Linked DNA regions of Rattus norvegicus. The protein of the gene in region 2 purifies or fractionates together with the protein of the main gene of each other region. This does not show direct contact. Links are inferred from orthologs where the notes say so. Each region holds a gene or a part of one and is shown on either strand. Other genes may lie near its edges.

Evidence for each region. The genes of interacting proteins can lie anywhere in the genome.
Region 1: the proteins of Ube3a (region 2) and Psmd13 purify together in Homo sapiens (affinity purification with mass spectrometry; 4 studies listed by BioGRID and IntAct, with this or other methods). This does not show direct contact. The link is inferred for Rattus norvegicus from reciprocal best matches to the Homo sapiens genes UBE3A and PSMD13.

Annotation. Positions count from the first base shown.
Region 1 is NC_086019.1:205,403,573-205,408,269, reverse strand, and holds the end of Psmd13 (26S proteasome non-ATPase regulatory subunit 13), read right to left. Parts: intron 3,010-4,697; coding exon 2,929-3,009; intron 2,819-2,928; coding exon 2,702-2,818; intron 2,201-2,701; coding exon 2,105-2,200; 3' UTR 1,745-2,104; downstream 1-1,744. Other genes in the region: Cox8b (cytochrome c oxidase subunit 8B, mitochondrial precursor), read left to right, coding at 54-164, 1,307-1,408.
Region 2 is NC_086019.1:119,257,199-119,262,617, reverse strand, and holds part of Ube3a (ubiquitin-protein ligase E3A), read right to left. Parts: coding exon of another isoform or gene 5,406-5,419; intron 3,822-5,405; coding exon 3,538-3,821; intron 632-3,537; exon of another isoform or gene 440-631; intron 1-439. UniProt on the Homo sapiens protein: E3 ubiquitin-protein ligase which accepts ubiquitin from an E2 ubiquitin-conjugating enzyme in the form of a thioester and transfers it to its substrates.

The sequences.
Region 1 (4,697 bases), about 86 Mb from region 2:
AGACATTCAGGGTGCCTCTTTGGGGCCAAGGAAAGAGTGCGACCCCGAGAATCATGCCAAGGCTTCCCCCTATCCTGCGGCTGCTCCAAGCGCCCGAGAAGTACACAGTGATTCCTAAAGCCCGTATCTCTTCCAAGCCAGCCAAATCTCCCACTTCTGCCATGGTAAGTAACTCCTAAGGTAGGATTCCTTGGGCTTCAGGGCAACAGGGAAGATTAAAGTGATAAAGGAGAGGGGTGGGTGTGGTGCTAGGTTATCAGTATTTTATGCAAGATGGTGTCTGAGTGCCAGAAGAGCACCCTGGCACCACTGCCCGTGGGCCAGGCTCTCAAAGGGCTACAAATGGTGGGGTAGGGACGTCCTCAGACCTCACATACCTCTGGGCCAAGGTCGACAATGACAGAATTAGGGGGCAGAGTTAGGATACAGGACTCATATCGGTTTGTGTTTATTCCTTTGTTATGGGGCAAGGAGGGCTGCTCTGAGGGGAAAACTAAAATGGCAGCAAATCTGATGAAATTTGACATATAAAGTAGGTCTGTCTCACATGTACAAAAGACTCATGCATAGAGCTACGGCTCAGCCCAGACTAAGATTCCTAGTCTAGGCTGAATTTGCTTAAACTCGGGATTAAGGTTAATAGGAAGGACTGGTTTTCAAATGAAGTACTGACTCAGCTTCAAGAAGGCCTGGACACAGGCCTTGTTTTGAGAGAACTCAGGGTGTCACACAGTTGATAGCTCAGAATGTGTCTCTACCTAAAGCTACTGAGAACACAGGGCTCCTGACGGGGGTCATCACTGCACATGGGACACTCAAGGCAGGTGTCCGACCTCACTCACTGTGGCTTCTGAATGGGGCTGCTTTTGAGAAAAGCCCAGTGTTCGTTTGTAACAATGGAAACCTTAGCTGCTCTGCTATTCTGCATAGCCCCCTGGGACATAAGACTGGACAGGAGCTGAGTGAACCTCTGCCTCACTGGGAGCTGCTTCAGCTAGGCAGGATCCTGGTTTCTGAAGCCCAAGGTCGTTGCTCCTGATTTCTGAGGTCACTCTCCCTGCCAAGGACTCCGAGCTGCCAAGCTCTCTGACACGCAGAGCCTGCTTGCTCACAGACTGCCTAGAGAAGCAGAAGGGAAATGGGGACTATGGCTGGTCAACATGCAGAGAAGAAGAGCAAGGGCAGTGACCTCTGGTTGCTTCTGACCGAGACAGAAGCCCCACACAGCAGGATTCTAAGGATGGCCTATGGCCAAGCCCAAGCCTTCTAATGGCCAGTGGACTCATGTTTGGTTTTCTTTCCACAGGATCAGGCTGTGGGGATGTCAGTCATAATCGCTGGCTTCATGGTTCCAGCAGGATGGGTCTTATCCCACTTGGAGAGCTATAAGAGAAGCTCCGCAGCATGAGGAGCTCGGCGCATCCCTGAGAGGCCAATTAAACGCTTCCAGTACCTCCTGCTCGTGTTGATTCTTGAGGGTGGCACTCATAACACCCAGTGCCTTAGTGATGCTCGGCAGCGAGTGTGGATGCCCGAGTCTGAGAGAGCACTGATAAGGACTGCAAGGAGGAACCAACGCCGCCTCCTTGTCTGACAATACAGGGCTCACTACTTTGGTGGCGGTCCTGTCATATAGTGACGGGGGAGAAGGCGAGCCCCCACCAACCTGAGTCCCAGCTTACATGCTCATTTTTTCTTTAGGCACAGGATTGGCTAAGAAGCTAAGTTCAGGAACAGAAGCACCAACAGAACAATGCAAAGGCATTTATTATAGAAGCACTCTCAGACCACACTGGAAAGGTCCACTCAGGTGGATTTGGGTGGAGACTACTCTGTCCCCATTCCCATTCATGCCCTTCCTCATCACCTAGGCCTGGAGCCCCCCTCCCACGGCTTGCGGGCTACAAAAGACCCCACACAGGAGCCTTCTCCAAGTAGTCACACCCCCATCAGTGACAGATCTCTGCATTTATAGCAAGAACAGTTCCCACTCCTAGCAGGATCCCAAACTCCATCCCAAATGAATACAGATCTCTGCTGATGGTTTCGGGGGTCACCTTGCAGGGTGAGGCAGGGTGAGGCGGGTCTGCAGGACCCTGGGGCGTTAGGTGAGGATGTCTTGAGCCTGGTGTTCTACCAGCAGCTCCATGCTCTTCACATCAGTGCACCAGAGCTCCAGACGGTCCTTCATCCCCTTGATCTAAAGGCAAGTCAGGATCACATGGGTGTCAGGCTGCACGGGAGTCTGTGTGGGAGTGCTAAACCTCTAATGCCTTTTGGGGAAATGCTAAGGGCGACAGAGCTGAAGGTGGGGGTGTGATGGAATCACCGTGCCAATTCTGATCACGAGGACATTCTAAAAACTCACATGAAAGAAAAAGAATGGAGGAAATCACAGGATTAAATGTCCGGAAAATATGATAGGGCGTGGGATCAAATCACAAAACCAGGAACATGTCTGTGCAAGCACCAATTTGAGGATTAGGAGGCAGCAGCAGCACAGCAGCACTGTTGTCACAGTAAGCCTGTAAGTGCAGGGCTCAGGCCTCAGGGCTGCTCCCCTAGGCCCCCACAGCAGTAATCCCATCTGCAGCACCTTGTGTGGGACAGTGTCCGCTTCCTAAGTGGCTTCCGTCCACATAAAACTAGGACAGCACTGGTGTACCCAAGTCCACAAAGGGCAGGGGCTCAGCCCCCTTACCTGCTGCAAATCCAGCACTCGAGGCTGCACCCACGTCATGTGAACCCGCTTGTCCACCTCGTCTATGCTGCCTCTCACCAGCCCCACCGAGAGTGCCTTCATCACCAACAGCTCCACCTGTGCAAGGGGCACATGAGACAAGCTGGGAGCACGGTGCTCGCTGAGACCAGGTCTCTGTTGGGGGTGGTAGCATTGCTGCTGCGAACCCCTAAGTCCAAGAACCATACCTTGTTGACAGTGATCTTGGCACTTTTGGCAATTTCCTCAAAAGTGAGTTGTCTGTGGTTGGCAGGCCGTGTGAACGTCATCTGAAAAAACAAAACTATTTTTCTAAGCAAAAGTGGTCATCAGAGAATTGGTTTTTTAAGATTTTTTTTTTGGGGGGGTGGGGAGTAGTCAGGGCTGGAGATAGGGCTCAGTAGTTAAGAGCACTGGCTGCTCTTCCAAAGGATCCAGGTTCAATCCTAGAGCCCACATGGCAGCTCACAACTGCCTGTAACTCTAGTTCCAGAGGATATGACACCCTCACACATACATACATGCCACATATGCAGACAAAACATCCATGTATGTAAAATAAAAAGTTTCCGGTTTCTAGCTGTTGTGAACATAGCTGAGCAGTGTTCTTGTGGTGTGGTGGATGGGGGTGCAGAGGGGGGATGGGAACAGGAGGGATCAGGTGTGGGGAGGATGAAGGGGGAAAGTACTCGGAGAGAAAACTGGAATGGGGGGTGGGCATCCCTGGGATAAGCTAGAAACCTAGAACAATGGGATCAATGAGGTGACCCTAGGGACTCCTAGCAATGGGGGGATATGGAGCCTGAACTGGCCATCTCCTGTAACCAGGCAGGACTTCCAGTGGAGGGACTGGGACACCAACCCAGCCACAAAACCTTAGATCCACAATTTGTTCTGCCTACAAGATGTGCAGGGGTAAAGGTAGCAAAGAAATTATGGGAGCAGCCAACCAATGACTGGTCCAGCTTGAGACCCATATCATGAGAGGGAGTCTACCCCCCCCCACCACTGCCCAGAGAGCCAGGGGCTGGATAGTCCAGAGAGCTAGGAGACAGAACCAAACATGAATGGTGCGCGCACACACACACTCAGTGTAATGATTCCTAACGATATTCTGTTGTACTCACAGATTGGCATGTAGCCCAACTGTCCATCAGAGAGGCTCCACCCAGCAACTGATGTTGTACAGACTCAAGAGTCAAACATTAAGCAGAGCTTGGGGAAATGGCAAGGAAATATGATGAAGACCCACAAATTACCCGACCTGAGCCCATAGGGGCTCAGAGACTGAACCACCAATCAGGAAGCCTGCAAGGGACTGACCTAGGCCCTTGCACGTTTCAGTTGTGTAGCTTGGTCTTCCTGTGGGACTCCTAACAATGTGAGGGGAGCAGGAGCTGTCTGAGTCTGCTGCCTTCCTCTGGGACCCGTTCCCCTGCTGGGTTACCTTGTCTAGCCTGAGAGAAGAGGAGGTACCCAGTGCTACCGCAGCCTGTCATGCCATGGCCTGCTGATAGCCATGAAGGCCGACCCTTCTCTGAAGAGGAAGGGAAGAGCGGATTGGGGGTGGGGTGGGGGGGATGGAAAGTATGGGGATGGGCTGGGAAGGGGAACTGCAGTTGGGTGAGAAAATAAACACAATTTATATAAATAAATATATGTGTATAGCCAGAAGTTGCAGTTGTTCTGTGGGGGTTTGGTTGCACACACCTTTAACCTCAGCTCTCACAAGACAGAGATAGGCAGATCTCTGTGAGTTTGAGACCAGTCGGGTTCACAGCAAATTCCTGGCTAGGGTCAGGATTACATAGTGAGAGGCTGTCTTATTTAAAAACAAACAAAACTCTGAAAATATAGATCATCTTATTAATCCTGTGTTCAAGTACTCAAGCTTTCATAAGGTAGTATCTACTGCAAACAAGGTTTCAATGCTCAGAGAAGCTCAAAGGTCCAAACCAACTTTGAAGGAACTTTGACA
Region 2 (5,419 bases):
ATTCTGAATTTGATTTAGAATTTTTAAAAAAATGTAATTTACTTATTAACACCCTAAAATCACCAGCTCCTTTTTTATTTAAGTAATCCCAACAACCTCACCCTTTCTTTGGCACTCATTCAACATATAATTATTAATTATGCATTGGTAATTTAAGACTTGCCTTGTAACCGAGACATGTACTGGTATGTAACATTTATTGTAGATATGAACAAATATATATATTTATCATTTCATCACTGTACTTTATTACAACCTTACCGAAAAGCTACTATGCTAATAACCTAAAATCATTTTCCTTTACATTGTTCTCAAAAAACTAAGGAGGCAAGGTTTTACAAGGTTTCCTCAACCCCTTCATTTGCAATCAACTCTTTCTATACTTTTGTATATCGTAAAATCAAACTGACTCATGTTATGTATTCTTCATTTCTTCCAGAGTTTTCATTCTGAAGCTGAGAAAAAGATATTACTACTCAAGTAAACTCTACTGAAGTTAAAACTGCTACTACAGCTACTACTACCTATGACCATTATTTGGGTTCTAATAACTCTTAACAGAGCAACTAGAAATTATTACAGTCATTCAAAAACAAATAAAAGGAAGAAGCTAAGAGAGTAAAGACCACAAGCACCAAAATTCATATCTATTTTTCTCCCAGGAACAGATTTGGACCATAAATCTCCTAGCTTAGGGAAATTACTTTCAACAAAGGCTTTACCATTTCGTTAACAAAACAAAAGATATTTTATCTAATTGGGAAAAGATGACATTTTATATACTAAAGTCTTACAAATTAATATATTTATCAAATAATAATGCTGAAGCCAAACTTAATCTCTTTCATCAAAGAGTAGCACACTAGAATTATTAAATTAAACATTGAAGGTAGTTTAATTTTTTTATTTACATTGACAATATATCCCATACATTGATAATATGTCTAACACATAAATATCTTTACTATGATTGGTACATTTATTAAAGGTACCTATTCAACAGTAAGAGACAATATAAAATTCAAGTCCTCATTAATAGAATGGCTTCCAAAACATAAACCACAAAGCACTGAACTGTATATACTACAAAACTGATCTATGGACTGTTCTAGAGTATTGACACTTACTTATTTTATGATCTTCAATTCTTTGTTTCAAAAAATGCTCTATTTACTTATTAGGGGTGATGAAGCTATGGAGTTGAATGGATAACTGAATGAGTTCATTTTCTCCTTCTATACTGTGAGTCCCAGGCATGAAACTCAGTTACATGTACCTAGCTGAGGCAGCATGGCAATCCAAGTTCAATTCTTTAGTCTACTAAGAAATGTAAGAAAACACTAACATGGAGCTGATTTCTCATTATTCTAATGGAAAAAAATTATGGTATCTTCTTTGACCATTTCTCTTAACTATAACCAAAACACAGAATCTATCTATAATGAATAAACAGCCTGTTAGAAGATAATGTTTTATCTCCCTATCACTAAATTATAAAATTGGTTGGAAAGTGCATGTTCTACATATAGAACAATAAATATACATCCTGCCTGAAGGAGAATAACACTCTGGATCCACACACCATTGACTTGCAATGTCTTCTTTCAGAGCACATTCATCAAATGACACTGACATCTAGGAATACAAACTACTATTAATCAATACTTTTTCCAGGTAGTACTCGACTTAAAATGTTTAAAATGTTTATCTCTATCATCTGTCTGTCTGTCTGTCTCTGTCTATCTCTGTCTCTATCTGTCTTTCTCTCTTTCCCTCCCTCCCTCCCTCAGCCCCACCCCCTCTCTCTGTGTGTGTGTGTGTGTGTGTGTGTGTGTGTGTGTGTGTGTAAAGCAATGCAATAGAAATAAAAAACGTTATAATCTGGTTATCAACAAACAGGTAAGTAAAGAAACATTTTTTAAGATTCACCTGTACATTTTAATATGTGTGTTTTTGAAAACTGTTTGAGACATGGCTTCACATAGTATAAACAGACATATTGGAAATCAACACGGTCCTTCCTGAGAATCTGGACTACAATGCCACTAAACTCAGGTCCAAAACACTCTTAAAACATAACATTTTATACCATAAACAGTTTCATGCAAGAACAGATTTGTGATACACTAATTGATACCTACATATTTAATTAAAATTCAACAAATATATAATTATCATAATGAGAAATTAAGTATGATTAAGCCTGTGTAATTCCTAATTCAAAAATATTAAAGTAAATAAGTAAAGGCAATAAAATTTGGAGTGATCCACAAAAACAAGATGTGTAAAAAAGAAGCATACATGGGCTATAACTAGATAAATATACCAATTATATACTATATTTTTCCAGTTAGTCACATTCAACCATGGTGAAATATTATATTTCATTTACTGTTACTCTGTGATGTTCACTCTGTCGTAGAAACATGTATAATTGAGACATTGCAGCTTCTACATTCAAAATATTGATACCATTCACCTACTTATCTACAATGTGAACAAATTCATGAAATAGGACTGGTGTAGCCAAACTGAATAAATTATTTTTCTGATTTTTCTTTAGTTCAATTGTGAAACTAACATGAAATTCTAATATAATTTCATTTCACTAATTCCTTTAAACATGTTTCAAGTGACAGGGGCTAATCCGTAGCAATGTGAAACATTCAATTACCTTATTGCTAGTTGATAATTACTTCTATTAAGAAAAAAATAGACTGAAGAATCAATGAGGGAAAATAGAAGTTTTAAGAACTTTCGAAACATAGGACTATTTTTAAAAGACTAGATGCATTGGGGACCTAGCTCAGTTGGTAGTGCTTATCTTTCATTCATGAGATCTCCCTCAGTACCATATAAACAAAGTATGGGAATGTAAACCTTTAATTTCATTACTAGGAAAGTAGAAGCAAGAGAATTAAAAATATAAGAACAGTGTCACCTATCTTGAGCAAAACAAAAAGAAACAAAGCCCCACAAAAGCTGAGTAAATATTGGTAGGTTAGATCCCTAAGCAGTATGAGTACACCAAGTTCCTGAGGTAGAGAGCAGTATGTAAAAAGAAAATGTTAGAAGGAAAAAAATATATTATTCAGATAACTATTGCAAAATTTTACCCTGCTTTCTAAAAAAGGAAAACAAAGACTACCTTATACCTTATATTTGTATTTCTCCTTCTTTTACCACAGCCCCTGTAGTTCTGGACCTGATACCAGGTATTTACTGCAAATGCAATACATGTAGTAGATTTTTATGACCTAATAAGATATTAGCTACAATACAATCATTACAAATTGAGTTCAATCATTATCATATTAATTTTTAGAGTATAATCTGCTTCTGACAACTTCTGTATCAGTAAATATAAGAATAAAATATAAAGTAACTAAATACCTGTCTTTACCACACTTAAAAACAGTGGCTTTACTATACTATGATATCTTCAGGTTATAAAAACGCAAAAACCCAAAAACCACAAATTTAAATCTCTGAAATAGCTTTCAATTAACCATTTTGAATTTAAATATAGTCTCTTACCTTTAAACTCTTCCTTCTTGTTCATTTTTATCTCTGAGTTGTTAGATGCACCTTTTGAGTTCTCAAGGTAAGCTGAGCTTGCTCCTTTCTTGGAGGGATGAGGATCACAGAGTTTTGCATTAATTTTATAAAGCTCAAGAGCTTTAATAGCTGCTGCATTGTTATCCATACGAAGAAAAGTTGGACAGGAAGCACAGAACTCATTCGTGCAGGCCTCATTTCCACAGCCCTCAGTTAACTGATGGTAGTAGCGCTCTATTAGATGCTTTGCAGCTGCTCGCTTCCTGTACCAGACATTCAAACAATAAGCACAGTGATTAGTATAGCTCAGAAACAAAGCCCAACAGATAAGACAAAAGTTAGCTAAGCAATACAGCAATAAACTATTTAGATGTACAAACTGGAAATTGACTATTACCTCTCAAAGTGTTAATTAGTGAAATAAACACTTTCTAAAAAACCATAATAAGTATGTCAGCTTACAAAATTATTTTAACATGGTAGACTTTTCTTTGGCTTAAAAAAAGATAAGCTAAGGTGATGGTGTATGACCCTTAAACTGTATACCAGAACAACAAAAACAATAAAAACAGTAAGTTTACTATTACATCTGCATAGCAACTTTCCTTTTCATTATATATAAAAATCACTAATTCATAGTTCCAAATACTTGACTTCTGGTTAATATCAAATTTCTAGAGTTTATTTTTTCCCTCAATTAATAATCATGGGAGATTTAACAGTGCTTCACAAATTAACTATCTAAATCTCGTATTATGCCGAGAGAGAAGCACTAAGGCATATGACCTTGAACCCATACTTGTCACTAACCCTCTTCATTAGTTCTTATCCTAGGAAAGATAAAGTTTTTATTAGGGGAAACTCATATTCATCAACCTTATCCATGAAAATTAACATTTGATTAAGATATTTTTCATGTAAAGTAACCAATACAATTTAAGAAATAAATTATTTTACCAAACAAGTAATTGTTCTACATAATCTAAATCTAAAATTCTATTCTTTGAGATTACTGCAAAATTTAAGTAGAATTGAATATTTGGTCCACAGTAGTATAATTCAAAGCAATTTTTTTGGATCTATACAAGCATTGGACCTGCAAGTAGAAAGAATTCACCTAATTCCATTCTAAAACTTCATGCCATAATTTTAGATAGAACTAAGAGGCTAATGGCACTAGAGATAAACAAATAAGCACTGATAAGTGACTTTAGAGTCATTCTTTGCATGAAAGGTACTTATATTTAGAAATATTCCCTATATATTTACCACTCATAGTGTAAAGCCTGATGACTCAAGTTTGATCCCTGGATCCCACTTGGGGAAAGGAGAGAACTAATTACCACAAGTTGTCCTCTGACCTCTAAACACACCAAAACTTATGCCCAGTCACATATATCTACAGAAAATAAATGTAATAAAGTTTAAAATGTATCATGGAAGTAAGATATGCCACATATAGGAAAAGGTCATCAAAAGGAAGATATATTTCCTTATTATTTATAGAAACTACCATGCCTAACAATAGCAATCTGCTTCAATATACTGACAGCATGTACCAAGTAAAATAATTACCAACAGCCTTCCTATTATTTCCTTAACACAAGCCAGTGACCAAGTTATAAATGTAGTATGATTCTGTTTCAAAATATTAAATATTTTTCTAAATAATTAAGTTAATTCTTGCATGCTTTTCATCCTAACTACTTTATTTTCTATTACTATGTACTTAAACAATAAAAATTTCTAAGTGTCAGTAGGGAAGTTTCAACTTCATCTATATGATCTGAATGGGGCCAGATTGTTCAGGTTCATGAACAGGATCTGTAACTGAGCGAACTACTTACTTAGCCTTTCTGTG